2 linked regions of the Lepisosteus oculatus genome follow. The protein of the gene in region 2 purifies or fractionates together with the protein of the main gene of each other region. This does not show direct contact. Links are inferred from orthologs where the notes say so. Each region holds a gene or a part of one and is shown on either strand. Other genes may lie near its edges.

Region 1 (8,615 bases), on a different chromosome or scaffold from region 2:
TGACACCTTCATGAATTTTTGGGTTGTGATAATGCAGTGTGTAGGATGTCTGCTAAGCACAATACTGCGGAGAGTGCTGTTGCTACTGGAGACTACTCCAGCTGAAATCTTACAGTACGCGTTTACTCTGCCCAGCATTGCATGAGACTTGCCAAAAAGACACAGAGCACTCTGCAGCAGAAGAGATTGAGTGAAAACTCCAAAGTACAAAGCATGCAGGGATAAAAGAGAGCAAACAGACCTAAAATGGACATTGAGACCTTTAAAAATCTGCAATAAGAAGACTATCTGCAATATCAAAATGCTTTAACCATTATGCAGTTTGTCTATCAAAAAACACACATTGCAATTAATTCAGTATTTTACATGTAAGCTCATTTTCGTCTACAGAATGTCAGCATTATCGTAAGAGTTCGGGTATATTTTCAGCAAAGGGTTTAAGAAACTGAATGACACAACTCAGAAGAATATGGGAACACTGAAGGTCTCTAGAAAAGAACTACATTATATAAACTGGGCAACAAACCAAACCCTCATTTTCAATCCCTGTAAAAAACAAAAAGTAGCCGAGTTGCTCCAGACAGGGTAGATTAATGAAAAAGGACCCCTCCACCTGCTCCTCATTGAAAGGGCTACTCAGCACAGCCAATGTCTACCAACTTGTCTTTGGAAGGAGGGAGAAAACCAGTTTGTAAAGAAAAAAATGTCACGGGGAGACCATGCAATTTCCACACAGAAGGTGCTTCTGTCCTGACTCGGACCCATGACACTGCAGCTGAAAGACAGCAGCACAAACTGGCAGAACCACTTTGACTGTAAGCCTCTGAAAATAATAGCAAATAGGACAACAGACTAGATCCCACCATAAGGAAACCACATAAGCAGTTGTCACAATGTAGGAGAATTTGCCAGGGAGTATTATTCGAAGAAAGACAGACAGGGCAGCCCGCTATCTCGCACCTCGGGCAGGCCCTTGCCGGTGAGCTGAAACACCCCAGTCTTTTGGGACGTCTCAATGTGAGCCTTGAGAGCACTGTTCCCCATCCCTGCTCCCCGCTGCTGGGCTTCGCTTTTCAATCGCCTCCACGGATCCCAGGCAGAAAGTACTCCGCCTCCACTCCTCAATGCACAGGGCCCAGTTTCCCACTCGCTTCCCGCTATACACAGCCTCCGCGAAAATCCGTTCCCTGTTGTTTTTTTACAGTTCCAGTCTGTACGGGGAAAGAGCATGGAGCAAGATGAATTATACATGAATTCCTTTTCTTAATCGAAATAACTACAGTTATGTTGTTGTACCACCTACAGTTTTTTTCCTTTCGCCTGATTCATTCGGACTGTGCAATGGTATTGTTTTCCCGTACAAAAACAAAAAAAATCACTACCAATCTCACTTGAAAGAATAGCCCAATGTAACATGAAAGCGTTAAAATGACTGTTTTTCTTTAAAGTGTTATAACATGGGACGTTTTTAATAATAATACTTTATTAAACATGTCGGTTTATTAGGATGGCGTGAAAAAAATAATAAAAAAGAAACAGACGAACGCCCTTGATCCTGATAGAAACATTTTAAAATACTGTTAGGTGCAAGTTTCAATCAGGCTACAAAGCAATGTAGTTTGATACGACTTACATTAAATAACAACATGCCAAGGAAGGCGCCAGAGTCACGTTATTGCAAACTTAGCACAAAACAATATTTTCTGAAATACGCAGAAATATACGTCTAAATTACAACAGATAATATTGTACTCTCAAACAGATCGCGCTACAATGATTTTAGCTGTGTAACAAAAACACAAAATAAATATGTTGATTATTTTCAATTGTTTTTAAACATTAACGAAGCAAAACAAAACGATTGTTGTTACCTGATTCCCAAAGCTTATTTTCGGTGCGTTAAGATGATTGCTCTATTTACAACAACACGGGCTCACATGAACTGAGAACAGAAGCCGCTAAATAAGATTTTGTTTTTAATCTCCCGGAAACAGAAAAGACAAACTTGCTGACGAAAGGAAATGGGCTAGCCCACCGAGCAGCCATGTTACCAATGGCAACAAAACAGCCTTAAGCTCTAAAACTTTTTATATCTTGACATGTATTTTAAAAAGTTCAAGGTATATTGCACTTTTGAAAAAACAAATAAACACTTGGTCTGGATCATATGTTAATTATAAAATTTTGGTATATATGGAAGAACACTACGTTGCTAGACTAGGGATTAATTTGTTTCGTGACTATTTGAAGAAGGGATCACATGAAATTCTGCTTCTCTTTAAAAAACGTAGAAAAAATGACTAATTTGATATTCGCTATTTTGATAATCTCACCTGAAGTTAGTACTTTAATCTGAACATTATATTTTAATTAAGACATAATTATGATTAGTCTATACAATGCACAGTTTGAAGGGCCAAAGAGATGCCCTTTCTATTCTGTTACCGAAGTTCACCTTGAGCTCCATGAAGATGGCCCCCCTACAGACTGCACAAACGATTAAACCCACCTCATTCGTTAGTGCTACTTTTGTGCCGGTTTGTGCCGTTGAAATTAGCGTTTGTGCTTCTTTCGTTCCCGAGATATAGCGCCTTAGTTTCCCGGTGATCACGTGAACATGCACGGTGACTTTGACCTCCAGTGACCCCGTCTGCCGAGTTCAAGCGCTCAGTTATAGTTTAGCTCGTAACCTTAACATTTTAAAGACAACATCCATAAACTATGAGCCTCCTTAGATGTGAATAATACTAAGACTTGACGCATGCCAACAAATTAACATCTGTGACATAAACCTGTGGTTCTAATGTATGTAAAATAATCGTGATTGTAAGATCCATGGTTTTTATTTTCTATGGCACGTTTTCCTTTGCTTTCCCTACCCTGACATGCTGTTGCCAAACGCGTAATTGTGGGATACCATTGCGACAAGAGCTCCGCAGCATGTCATGATTGGGACCCCATGTATATCGCGGCAGTGTATATCACGACTGGCGCCTTGGTTCCATGCCACCCTGGAACTGCTGTCGCAACAAAGGTCTCATATCAGGACATGATATACCCAGATAGGACGTGCCGTGATACATGGACTTTGTGTCGCAACATGGGGTCAGCATATCCTGTCCAGGGTATGTTCTATGGCAACATATGGATTCCATGTCACGACATGGGGGCAGGGCATTTTGTCGGTGTATGTCATATTGCGATATACGGGCTTCATGTCGCGACATGGAGGCGGGGCGCTTCTGCCGGGGTATGTCGTATCGCGATATGGGGTCTTCATGTCGCGACCTGGGGGCAGGGCATTTTGGCTGGGTAGGTCATATCGCGATATGCGGGTTTCATGTCGCGACATGGGGGCGGGGCGCTTCTGCCGGGGTATCTCATATCGCGACATGGGGGCTTCATGTCGCGACATGGGGGCGGGGCACTTTTGCCGGGGTATGTCATATCGCGATATGCGGGCTCCATGTCGGGACATGGGGGCGGGGGCATTTTGTCGTGTATGTCATATCGCGATATATGGACTTAATGTCGCAACAGTGGCGCCTTGACAGTGATCCGCCAGTCAAAATGGGTATCGCGATGTGTCCGATGTGCGCGTACTCCTATCGTGACATGCTGTCGGAATCGTGAACGTGCTGTGGATGCCATGGCATTCTTTGTCTGCTATTCAGTTTTGACCTCAGTGCGACTTCTCTAAGCTTGATCAGAAATTGGAAACCATTGGATGTATTTCTGTATATCCAGCGTGCTCATACAGCACACACGGTATACACAGAACTTCCGCTGTGGCGCTTTACCCAATCAGAGTGTCGATTCTCAATCTTCACCCAATCGTGGCCCGAGCTGTTCGGGGGTTTAGCCAATCACGGGTCTGAGAGCTGTTCAAGCTAGCAGCGCCGGGTGGATCGGCTTGTTTTTTGTTAATGAGAAGCTATTTTTAAAATGCTTTACTTATTTGCAAAATAACTACACGTCTTATTTTTTTAACGTCTTTATTGATTCACAATGTCCCGTACTCTTCGAAATAAATACATTTTTTATTTGCAATATAACTGTCTCCGCTGCTTTCTGTAATGAATACATGGTATTTGAACAATTTTAATTTGTATATTTAAGGTAGGGGAAACACCTTCTACTATGTACGTAAAAATGAATAGAAATGTAAAGTCTGTGATCATTATATTATTATGCTAGTGCTTTCAATTTTGTTTTTATTGTTAAATTATTTCGATCTTGAAACTAATACATAAAAATGTGAATATGGGCTCTCGTGTTGTACCAGCGGTAATTTGGAAACTGGTGTCTCTTCACCACTAATGAAAGGAGTGCACAAGCAATACATTTTCGAGAACATGGTTAAAAATTAAAAGAAACACCTTACCCAATGAGCTAACATAGCAACTCCTCCCTAAATGTAAGACTGTTTATTCGTGTAAAGGCTGCAAAGTCTGGGGTCAACTGGTCAAAAGAGCGCAACTGAAAGATCTGGTAGTCGTGACTTAAATGTTTTTACGTCACAGAGTGACGTCAAAGGCAGGAAAAGAAGGCGCTATATTGAAATATACTGAAACATCCACCCAACCCGAAAAGACGGACTCGGAAAACAAATTGCCCGCATTGTTTTAATCACAATCAGGAGTTCAAGTACCCAGTTTGTTGGTACCCGTAAATGTCCTTGTAAATAGTCACGTGATTACCCGAAAAAACAAGGCGCTACATCTCTGAAACGAAAGCAGCACAGACGCTACTTACAGCGACACAAACCGGCACAAACGCAGCACTAACGAATGAAGTGGGTTTAATCGTTTGTGCTGTCTTTAGGGGGGGGGGGGGCAACTTCACGGAACTTTTACCTTGAACCCTCAAACAAGACTGGCACTGACAACATGGCAAAATGTTGTTCACGTTCGTGCTATTATGTTATTATTTAAGAAACTGAAAAATATCAGCCGCAGTAAACCTCATCTTTATTTTGCAACTAATTCTGCAATAAAATAAGTGATTTGACATTAAAATTGTGCAAATGTCTTGTATTATTATGTTAGGCGAGGAAACAAATTTGACAAATTACCAAATCGCTTTTAAAATACGTCATCAGTGTGCGCAGAAAAGAGGCGGGTGCGGGATTGTTTAAAATAGAATGGCAGTGATGGGACTGCAGAGGGAAAATAAGATCACACTTAGGTGAGATTATTGTTATGTTGTATTATAACACGGATCCTTCCTGTTCTCAAACACGCTAAGGTGATATATTCTTCTAGCGAACCTACCAGCGGCGAAATATGAGTCTTGTTATATTTAAAGTTTTAAATGGGGATTAAGAAAATGTATTGTCTCCTTCAAGCTGAATCAAAAAGAACTGCACTCGAAAATGTCAGTAATTGTGTGTTCGACGGCTTTCAGATTTTTGCAGATGTTTATTCGAATTTATTTAAATGATTTTGTTTAATTCCATTAGATTTTTAACGGTTTTGGGTTGCATAAAAAAAACTGTAAACATAACCACTACCGGTACATGTTTTGTACTTACAGTAAGCTACGGGTTAGAAGTAAGTGCAACGTCTGAAATGTATCTTATTTGTCTTGCATTTTCCTGTTTCATCACCAACACCCAACACCAACAGTGCCTTTGTCGTCTTTACCGATCAGTGCTTGTTATTCAGTGCCGAATGATACCGATGATGATTTCAGTTGATGAGTGGCGCGTCCCTGCCCTGGAGATGAATCCCTGGGTGCCGGCGCCCTATGCCGTGACCCCTGCAGCCCAGGTGCTGGCCAGATGTGTGGCTTCCGGAGCGCTGTCTGAGGTGAGGGTAGAGCACGCTTTCAACTGAGCCACCGGACGTTACTCAAACGAATCAATCTGAAGTGTACACGGGTTTTCAGCATGTATCCAGCTGTATTTTCTAGGTTCAGTCCACTTCACGTTTTTAAATGATACGTATCATGTTCTTCCCCTGAGACATGGTATTTGACAAAAATGCTTCACTTTTCCTCGGGGTTCCTTTTCCTTCTGTTTTATGCTTGTGGTGTGAACTGAAGTATAATGCACATGGTAATGAGATGCTTACTCGGCTTCCTTGCCGTGTTGCAGGACGTGGATGGCATCCCCAGAGACATAACTGTCTTCTCTCCTCAACTCCTTGAAGCTGAACAAGTTGCAGCATTGAGGCACGACATTAACGAGGTAACCTCTGACCTCCGCAGACGCTACCTGTTTTCTCACTTCTCTGAAAAAGTATCCTTTCTGTTTTCCTTGCACCTGAATCATTGAATGTTTTCAATCCGTTTTGGAAAGGGCGGGTTCCCTTCGCGTTGCTCAAGCTGTTGCGCCTGTACTTCACAGAATGCTTCTCATTGTGCGTTTTTTCTTGCTTTCAGAAAAGCCTGGAAGTGGAACTCTTACAGCTAGAAAAAGAGGGAGCTGAGGTCACCCACAGCTTTTATCTCTGTAGGTGGTACATGTCCAACTTGGTAGCAATACAGTCTCCTCCAGGAGAGTTGCTTGAATATACTTTTCTGGCTTCTAATAGAGATTTACGAGATGTTAATGCTCAAAATGTTCACTTCACTTACTTTAAAGTAATATGAAGAATGTATTAAGCTAAATGCTTCACTTTTTTGGTCTTTGTAATATTAAATTAACTCCTGCAGTGGTTACATTGACATTTTTAAGAAGAGCTGGGACTTGAGTTCTTGTCTCGGTGCTGCCTGTTTTAAAATGATATGGACAGTGATGGAAGTTATTGTTTCTCCAGCCAAGAAGTTTGAAGCCCTGCAGCAGTTCACCTCCCATTTGCAGGAAGTATTGCATGAACGTAGGAGTCTTTGGCAAAGGCTGATGAAACCACATTGCCAGCAGAATCTGCCCGTTGAGGCCAACCTGCACAGGCAAGTATAGAGGCAGCCCTTCAGTGTTTAAGACAAACTGCAATTTAACAGTTTTCTTCCAGGAATGATATCTTGACAAGTCTGTAACGCAACAACCTGGTAGAAGATTATTCGTTGATACTGATGTCAATGGGATGTCAAAAAGAGGAAAGGGGCCCCAGGGTCTTCCCTTAATTATGATGGCCACCTCTCTTGCTTCACTTGGAACAGCAATAAGAGGGGAACCTTCACCCCCTGCAGGAAAGCAAACAAGCTGCCAAGCCAGAAGAATCCTCATGGGGGTACATGTTTCTGTCAAGGAACAGGTAAGGGTTTATTCCTTGCTGAAAGCAAAAGAAAAGAGACTTACCATTTTGGCTGTGGAGCTTTCTTTTTCTTTCAGCATGGAATAACTCTTTACCTGCTCCTTTGCAGGCTATGCATGCCCACGCAGCTGCCTACATGAATGTGTTTCTGTCAAGCCCACCTCAGCCGCCCCGGCGGGTGGGTACAGGCGTTTCCATTGAATCCGTGTGGTGAAATGTGCAGTCAGACTTCCCAAAATAGCGCCTATATTACAATCTTCCCCGCTGCAGGTATGTGGTGCAGCTCGTAAGTATGGCCGCAGACTTCATCAAGAACCTGGAGAGCAGGGTGCAGACAACGCGCTCCATTCCTGACATTGGCCAGTCCATGGCCAGCCTGGTATGTGCATTCAGTTATCTCAAGCGGCTATAGCAGGGGTGGGCACCCCTGGTCCTGGAGGGGCCAGTGCGTCTGCCAGTTTTCTAGGTTTCTTCAAAGCACCAGCTCCTAAAACAATGGGAGAAGCTTTTACATTGGTCCTATTAAACCAGAACTGAGCTGATTGAGCTTGTTAAGAGCATGGTTTGAATGAAAACCTGCAGACATGCCAGCACTCCAGAACCAGGACTATCCCTGGGCCATAATCTGAGCCTAATTTATTTCTTAGGAATACCAAGCCAACAAAATAATATTGAAGGCCAGTTTCTCTGACAGGCCTTTTTTACAACCTGTAACAAACAGCTGTTCCAAAAACTGCATCTTAGTAGCCAGTTCCTCCTGCTGGCTAAATTGGCAAATTACCGCATCCTACAGTTAAGAGCAAAACTTCTCCCTACATCTGTTACTCAAAGTTCCTTAGGCATACAACCGCATGAAATGCTCTTTGGATACTGAATATATTGATCAAAATAAGACATCAGTGTGTTAAATATGTTTGTATTCTAAAATAACAAGTATCACCATCAGGAATTCATTTATAGCTGCAGCATTGCAAAAGTGAAGACAAAAATCCAAAGGGGAGTGAAAAGCATAACAGCTAGGGCCCTGCTAAGTTTGTGATTTCATATAGCTGGTGTGAAGGGAGCGTACTGGCACACTGTACGCTTTGAGTGGATTGTCCAGGAAAGAGCTATATAAACTAAGGAATTATTATTATTAAATATTTTGCAATGTACATTTCTTATTGTAAAATGCATGATGCAACTTGAGCAAACAGTAACTCTGCATGATATAGAATCTCTGTGCTTGATGTTCACCTGTCGATGCATGATGTCAGATGATGGGATTTGCAATGTTTGTTTTTCCTGACTTCTCTCTGGAACCCCAAATTGACAAAATATCCATGCATTTTGATCACTCAGAATCTTGGATGTGGTACCTTGTATTCTACATTTAGTGAGACAACCAATCTTTTGGAAAGCAGGACAAAACTAAGC
Region 2 (8,142 bases):
AGAATGTAAGACAATGACTCCTGATTGCACCTGGAGACAATCAGCAAGCTCAGGGAAGGAGAATTTGTGCTGAACGCAGTTTCTCCCTGTAGGCATCAGCGTTTTGTGTGTGCCTAGTCTTGGGGAAAACCACCTGCATGACCCAGGGCAGCCAGCGATGTGACCCCGAGCTTGAACCTCTGACCCCGAAGGTCTGATCCTGCTCCAGAGGAATCGCGTCAGCAGGGGTGATCAGTGACCCCTGATCCACAGACAGGTGAGGAGTCTCATTTCACATTCAGAGCGCCCTGTCTGCTGCTGTGCCACAAGGACAGACAGGGTGACAGCCCGGACAGCACCCCGCTGGGGAACCCTACCTGGCCAGCTCCGCCAGGGCCTGGCAGTGCCCACTGATCCGCCGGCGATCCTGCCACAGAGAGTGGCGCTCCTGGGCACAGCGCACTCCCATCGCCTGGAGCAGGACCCTCCTGCGCCTGGCCTCCGAGCAGTGGTCCCAGCACTGACCCACAGCCCTGTCTGAGGACAGCAGGGAGAGCGAGGGAACTGGAGACGAATTTCCACAAGATGCCCAAAGGTGGTGTCTCGACCACCAGGCGAGGAATATATGACCAGACCCCTCCCAAACACCACGAAACATTTTTGTCGCTCTTCTCTGACATCTGGCTAAAGCTGGAGAGTCTTTCTGTGACCAGCCCTCAACACAATATTCATTAAAATTAACCAAACAGCTGATAACATTCATGACAATTCTCATGTTCTTAATAATAAATTGGAAAAATATTTGCCTAGAAACATCTTCACTAATTACTGCAACAATCGAAAATAACTATTATAAGATCATCCATAAGGAAATTAAATCGCACATTTCTCCCACGAATTTTGGGACTCAGAAGTCTTTGCTTTTGAAGTTTGATTGTTCATTTTTTAGCTCCTCGAGATTTAAACTGCACACACGGTCGACACACAGCTGATTCTCTGGAGGGATATCAACCCCCCCTCCCCTGCTGGCCCCTGCCGTGCCCGCAGGCCTCACCGTCACTGCACAGCTCCGCCTGCGACTGCTCGATCTGGGCGTCCAGCTCCACCAGCTCTGCCCGCAGCTCCTCGATCTCCCGGGTCAGCGCCCGGCGCCGCGCCGCCTCACTCTGGCCCTCGCCGCGCCGCACCTGCCAACCCGCGGGAGTGAGAATCTACAGCCCCACGCGCCTCCCCCGCCACTGAGCACAGGGAGAAGGGTGAGGGTCAAAGGTCAAAGACAGAAGGGTGCCCTTGCCGCGACCATCACTGCTCACACATGGCTTTGAGAGAGCAACTTTACACTGGGTTTCTTTAAAAAAAAAAAAAGAAGAACTTGCATCAAGCCGTTCAGCCCAACTCTTAAGATCTGAGTCTATAACAATCAAAAAGTTCCAATTTACCTCCGAATCCTGCATGACTTTGTAGCTGAAAGTGCTCCGTCAAGGAATCTGACATCTCCCGTTCAAACACAAGACAATAGCAAAGCCTTTCTCAGCGCAGCCCGAACCCTAAACCCTGATGAACACGATGGGGCCTCCCCAGTCGAGGCAGCTGTCTGGAAAGACTGACCCAGCCTAAGCCCTCCTCTCTCAACAAGACTTGTGACCACAGCAGCACGGACCTGTCTGAGCAGAGTGGAAGCAACACAGATCTCATGAAACCAGCACAAGCCCAGGAGGCAGACTGTCTCACGGCTGAACTGGGTTAGAAGGCAAGGCGACATGTGGCTTATCTTCTGCCTGGGTGAGGGGTCACATTTCAGATGAGACTTTAAAACTAGATCCCCCCTTCTTACAATCAATCTTTACCAACACCACAATGACTGCGACAGAAATGCTCAGGGTGCCGAGCATGTAAATTCCTACTCACTCTTCCTCAGGCTGTTCTGCTTTACTCTAGTTTAAACAGCTTTACAGAATTCCAAATGAGCGAGAGCTTCAGGTCAGTCACTACAGATTATGGCACCAGGAGGTTTAATAAAGGATACCACTGCAGGTTTCCTCGCATGATTCTCACATTCCTGCGAACAAAAACAGAAATCCTGTAAGCTGGACTACAGCACTGCAGGACCACAGCAGAGTCTCCATCCCCTGGAGGAGAGCCATAGCTCTCACTGACAGCACTGCAGGACCACAGCAGAGTCTCCATCCACTGGAGGAGAGACACAGCTCTCACTGACAGCACTGTAGGACCACAGCAGAGTCTCCATCCACTGGAGGAGAGATGTAGCTCCAACAGGCAGGCAGGTTGCAAGAGCGTGTCAGTGAGCCCACTCACCCCTCATTGTAAACGTGCCGAGTGATGTATTTCCAGATGTCAGCACCCTGACCCAGACACAACCTGAAACAGAGAAATAAAAATAAGCAAAAAACAAAACAACATAAAAAATAAGTGCAGCGTGTGTGGTGTCAGGAAGACATCACTCTTATTCTACAATCTTGCTTATACTGCACTGTAAAACCCGGAGCGAATCACAGAGCCACTGCACTGGGCAGGAGCCTCACTCACGTCCTGAAGTAGCTGTCCGGAGGCAGGTCACGGGCCGGCAGCTCCAGCTCCTCCACAATCCAGCGCTTCAGCACCTGTGGCAGATCCTTGTCTCCCATCCTGTCAAATCCAGGCGTGAACTGGGTCCACTCCAGTTTCCCAGCCTCGGGTGAGAAGGGCTGGCTGTCAGGCAGCAGCACAAACACAGGGATTCACTCCTGATCCTGGATGGGCTGCAATCCACCAGGTTTTATAGGCAACTGCGGGACGAGGAGTGAATATTAGTCAATGACTGCCCACAGCGTGGATAAGATGGTTTCTGCAGGGTCTCCAGTCAGACACCCCACACAGCAGCCTGTCCCCAGCTGTGCGATGAAAGTGTGGCCACAATGCAAAACCCGGAGTGGACCAGACTGCTGTGCACCGGGAGTCTGACTGACCCCAGCGGTCAGACTGCAGTGCACATAAACAGACCAACACCGGCACCACTGCCGCGCAATGCGAGTCTGACGGTGTTAGGCGTTGCAGGAGTTTCACCGTTTAAATGCGCGTCTTCCAGTGTCCCGTCCCCCGCGGCTGTGAATTCACGACACGGCCGGTCAGGCTCGGCTCTCGGTGAGCGAAGGGAAACGAGCACAGGGGCCTCTGACCTCCCTCCGCGCAGTCAGACACGACACTCAGCTACTAACTTCACCTTCCGCTCGTCTCCGTGAGCCGAGAGACACAGCGTGAAGCCCCTTTTACTGATATGCAGGAAAAACATAGTGTCGAAATATCACTGCTGCCCATTCTGTCTGCTGTCTACCGCTAACTGAGGAGACACGGGTGAAACGTATTTGTAAAAACTTGACAAATGCAAGCAATAGTTTTTATTACAGTTATAGTTTTCATTATAATAGTCACTCAGAAACGGTTTTACAACACGATTAAATAAATAAACCGCCTGATACCTTTTTTTATCCTAGTTTCGCTCAACCCGGTCAAACAAACGGCAGCATCTTATTTTGAACCTCGGAAACATTTCCTACTTCCCGCCGCCACCGCGTCTCTTGATCAGAGGCTTTTCCGTTGACGTCACGCATGCAGGGCGTCTTGGGAACTGTAGTTTTCTTTGATAGATACTTTATTGATCCCGTGAGGGAAATTGCAGTGCAACAGCAGCTTAACACAGACAACACAGCCACAGTGTAACGAATGATACAATAATAATAATAGTACAATACATACAATACAATCAGTACAGTGAGGGTGCACTAAAAGAGTTACTCACAGTCTGGACACACATCTCCTGATGAGCTTGTTCAGCCTGTTGGAATCCACTGCTCTAATCCCAGAGCCCCAGCACACCACTTCGTAGAAAATGGCACTCGCTACCACCGACTGATAGAACATATGTAGCATCTTACTACACACATTGAAGGACCTGAGCCTCCTCAAGAAGTGAGCAGTACTGCAGATGGTGACGTCGATCAATGATTTTTTTCTTGTCTTTTTAAGAGTGTTTCACAATCGTTTACACATTGTTTGAGACTACACTCCCTATACTCAAAACTATAAACACAAATGGCAAAACCTTTGCCCAACTGGGCAAACAGCAGAAATGTCAAACAAAATTAAACATTCTTCTCTTCAAAAACATGTTATCTTCCATCTGAACAAAACGTTGTGTTTAAAAGACACAGATAACCCATTTAACAAATAGACCCTACAGAGTAGCTGCTTAACATTCTCAGCATTTCTTGCAACCACTGGTGCGAATCACGACTAGGTCTCCTGCCACTGTTCCAGTTACGCCAGGTTTGTGATTGGAAATTGAACAATTGTACCCCTCAGGGTTTTCACTGGAGGAGTGGGGGCTGTTAATTGATGAATGGAGCTCACGCATTAACACCCAAAAGCAGGTGATTTTACTGATGACAATTCTGTGAGTGTGAGTGAAGCTCTGCTCATTCCTGATGAAACCGTGTTCCTTCAGGTAGGGAGGAAATCTATCAGCTGCTCTGGCCTCGAGCAGGAAAGTCTGGACCTGCGGTCTGGAACTGAGCAAACTGAGACAATGCTGTTTGTTTCAATTTTGAGATATTTTATTTTACAAAACAATGCATGTAATAACAGTGTATATACACACAATGTACAGTGCATGATACAAAATAGGTAAAGTCCAAAAACAGTCTTATTTGTACAAAATACAAGGAGAGATCGTTTGGTTACAAGTACAGTGAACAGGAGGTGGTGAAATGTCACTGCGGTTGAAATTCTGATAAAGAAACGGCCTGATCCCTCACAAACATAGTGAGGGATCAGGCTCCAATACAATACGAGAGCCGGCAAATGTCAGACTGTTCTACTGAAAATGTATAGGGGTGATTGAATCATTCATTCAGACTTCAAGCATGGAGAAGGTCTGACACACTTTCCAAAATCCTCTGGATCAAAGAACTGAATTCTGTGCTGAGGAGGAAGAGACTGAAACGCTCAAAGACCAAAGAGCTGTCGAGTGTTTAATGAATAACAAATTTCAGAAATGCCTGCACAGGGAGGTGGGGGACACATCTGAGCGTCACACAGGTTTTGCTGATGGGATTCGGATGCCTGTGTCACGCAGATATCAGTCCCACCCCAGTTCCTTCTCATCGGCCAGCGGGGACTTCACCTGGACTGCTAAGAGTGCAGTGTGGGTCAGCTGGGGTGTTGGAAGGGTTAATAGTTGTGTTAATGGAGGGTTTTAATGAGTTCGGAGTGACACATGTTCACAGGGGAATAGAAGAGCACTCTGCTGCAGCACAACCACTCAGACCTGGTGTCTCCTGACTGCCCTGATACACAGACATAACAGACACTTCTGCGGAATCGCAGGAAACGTCAGAAATAAAACAGGAAGTCTACGGCAAGCAGTGAACTACCAGCATGAATGGTAATTCCTTGCGTTATCAGCAAGAAGATATGCTACGTTTATAAACATATACATCAATAAATATAGTACACATAAAAGTTTCCATAGCTTATAAAAGGAGCTGCGCTTACACAATTTTCACCCAATAAATAGAGGCAGTAAGACGAAGTGCTTGCGTGAGTCCCGAGGGTCAGCTGTGAGTACAGACTAAGGGCTCCTGCCTGGACAGCCTTCATTAAACAAAGGGAATGTTATCTACAGGCTGTGTTGACACGGCTGCTGTTTCCTCTGAGAGATGAGAGAGTTAAGGCTGACATCACCCTGGAGTGACGAGGGTGGGTGACCCCGGAGCTGAGCCATTGCCAGAATTGTCCAAGGGGTCTCAGGGCCCCCCACTGATTTTCATATTCTGAGACAGGGGTTTGTATTAATATGGCTCCTGGGGCATCCAATTAAAGATGCTGAGAGAGAAAGAGACAGAGGGATTGTCTGTACAGGGGATGTGGGAGTGCCTGGATAGTGCTGGTTTGTTCAAATAAAATCTCTACATGGAGAAAGTAAACCTAGTCTGCATACTGTTTAGGACTGATAAGGCCAGAGCATTTCAACATCTACCCTCCCATTTTGCTCATCTGTGGTCATTGGTTGCTTTCAGGCTCCTTCTTGTTTTAAATGGGATACAACAAACAGAAACTGCCTCAAAAAAGACTTCTCAAAGCTCAGCACCAGGGAGAGGCCCAGGGAAGGAATTCAGTGTCGCACTCATTGGCCAGACCTGTGGTGTGACACTGAAACTCTTCCCCTACGCACCTTCCCCTCAGAGGTGCCTTCGGGACTAGTTGGCCCTGGGGTGACCAGTGTGCTTGGTAAAAGGCTAACAGGGATCTCTCACCCTAGCAGGCCAATTGGGAAAGGAAATGGTAGAAGAATGCAGCTGACATCAGTCACACTTTAATTTAAAATTTCTATTTCTTCACTGGAGAACTCTCCCATCCGGATCAAATTTCTCCCACACCATTCTGAGGAAACGGAAAGCAAAATTGAACTAAACAATACATTTGTTCCCAGGCTAGTAGCCCTACTTTATTCCCAAAGGTACTCCCATTGGAACAAGGAGAAATCTGGGAACGTCAAGAGCCGTGCAAGAAAACTGGACTTGAGCAATGCTGCACAATACTGCTGTCCATCAAAGGACCATCAGCACTATTTTTAAAAACATGTCAGGATTAAAGTGATTCCTGTATCAGTTTATTTGTAATGGTGTTACAAGCCCAACATAGCCCAGCTGCTTAGATCCTGTAGTCTTGGGAACGACCTTGACCTTACACAGATAACTGAGAAATTGCCTATAGGCTTCTGCAGAAATGTCCCAGTTCTCTCCAGAACATTATAGCCGTCAAGAGATAACTGGGACATTCGTGTAGAGATGTTTAGGCTACCACTGTTAGGTGGTGTGTCTGCCCGTTGTAGTCTATAACTGTGGGACACTGTGAGACTACAAATCCCAGCTGCCCTTGAGGTGCGTCACCTCCTGGCGGGGCAGCAGCGTCAAGCCTCAGTGAAGGTGGCAGCGTTTGACTGCTCTTTCTTCTGCGGCAAATTCCTAGCAAAGGAAGGAGAAACAAGCTGTTTTAGGATGTTGTGCTCATCAGGGGACACGACACAATACATGCTGACATTACTAATGGCAGGTGCATGCGCTTGTATCGTCCTCTGCACCCAACTTCCTTAAAACAAGCAAACCGATAGCCCAATTCCGATGGCAGGCAACTTTCTGCCTCAATAAAGGTGAGAGGCAACAGTTGAATGATCTATTGCCATGTGGGTATTGAAAAATGGCCGCCAAGCTCAAACTCCAGCTGTGCAAACACAGCAGCGCACTCCTCTGGGACAGAACCACGCCGCCCTGTTTCCTGATGTTCCCCTCATGTCAGTCCTTGCTTGTCCTGAGCCCAGCAGCAGGGGCTGCTGCAGGGGCTGCTGCAGGGGCGCCTCCTATAGGCTGATTGTTAACCAGGACGGATGTTGAGGGATGTGTTGCACAGGCATTGAAGCAGCAATGGGCTTCAGATGACTACGCCACACTAATTCTCCTCCCCCGGTCACCCCCCATAAGATGGATGTGTGAGACTGTCTGCAGTTTTAGGCCTTGCAAGCCCATACGTATGGGAGACACAAAGCAGCTTAAAGATCATCCCTTTGCTAACATTTTTCTCCACTCTGCCCCAGTGAGTGTCGTTCTGTAAATTTTTGCAGGATAGTTATTTGTGGTGGAAAATGGTCCAAACCAGCAACAACAATGGAGGATGAGGGGGCGTGCAAGGAAGGACAGCGGGAAACAGCAGACGGCCCAGATCACGCCCTTGAAACGTTGCTCATTTCTCACACGGCTGGATGTTTGAGGAAATCGGTGCTGCCTTGGGGTTGTGATCCCTTAACCGGGCTCTGGCATCACCCCACGGCCATTTTTCATGGAGCGCAGTGTCCTGCGTCCACCCTCTTCCCCCCTAATGGGGGGGGGTCACCTACTCGAACTTGGTGAGGGGCGCTTTGTCGCACGTGACCTCGGCCTGCGCCCCGCTCTGCGGTTTCGGGATGCTGCACCGCCGGGTGCTGACCCCTTTGAGCTTCACCTCGCTGCGGCTGAAGAGAAGGGACACAGACGCAGAGGCTCATAGCAGGCGGTTCACACAGGACAGCCCCAGGTGGCACAGACAGGCAGAGAACTGCTGGTGCTCACAGAG

The links. Proteins that work in one complex are often made in the same cells at the same time.
Region 1: the proteins of haus5 (region 2) and haus2 purify together in Homo sapiens (affinity purification with mass spectrometry; 5 studies listed by BioGRID and IntAct, with this or other methods). This does not show direct contact. The link is inferred for Lepisosteus oculatus from reciprocal best matches to the Homo sapiens genes HAUS5 and HAUS2.

What each region holds. Positions count from the first base shown.
Region 1 is NC_090703.1:12,611,823-12,620,437, reverse strand, and holds the start of haus2 (HAUS augmin-like complex subunit 2), read left to right. Parts: upstream 1-5,092; 5' UTR 5,093-5,187; exon of another isoform or gene 5,188-5,247; intron 5,248-5,627; exon of another isoform or gene 5,628-5,652; 5' UTR 5,653-5,672; coding exon 5,673-5,810; intron 5,811-6,097; coding exon 6,098-6,190; intron 6,191-6,384; coding exon 6,385-6,454; intron 6,455-6,761; coding exon 6,762-6,894; intron 6,895-7,469; coding exon 7,470-7,578; intron 7,579-7,625; exon of another isoform or gene 7,626-7,686; intron 7,687-8,099; exon of another isoform or gene 8,100-8,615. Other genes in the region: lrrc57 (leucine-rich repeat-containing protein 57), read right to left, coding at 961-1,044.
Region 2 is NC_090722.1:11,586,198-11,594,339, forward strand, and holds the start of haus5 (HAUS augmin-like complex subunit 5), read right to left. Parts: upstream 3,544-8,142; 5' UTR 3,456-3,543; intron 3,450-3,455; exon of another isoform or gene 3,043-3,449; intron 2,766-3,042; 5' UTR 2,625-2,765; coding exon 2,527-2,624; intron 2,359-2,526; coding exon 2,296-2,358; intron 2,039-2,295; coding exon 2,006-2,038; intron 1,444-2,005; coding exon 1,419-1,443; intron 1,167-1,418; coding exon 1,034-1,166; intron 517-1,033; coding exon 357-516; intron 1-356. Other genes in the region: ncam3 (neural cell adhesion molecule 1), read right to left, coding at 6,947-7,001, 7,928-8,041.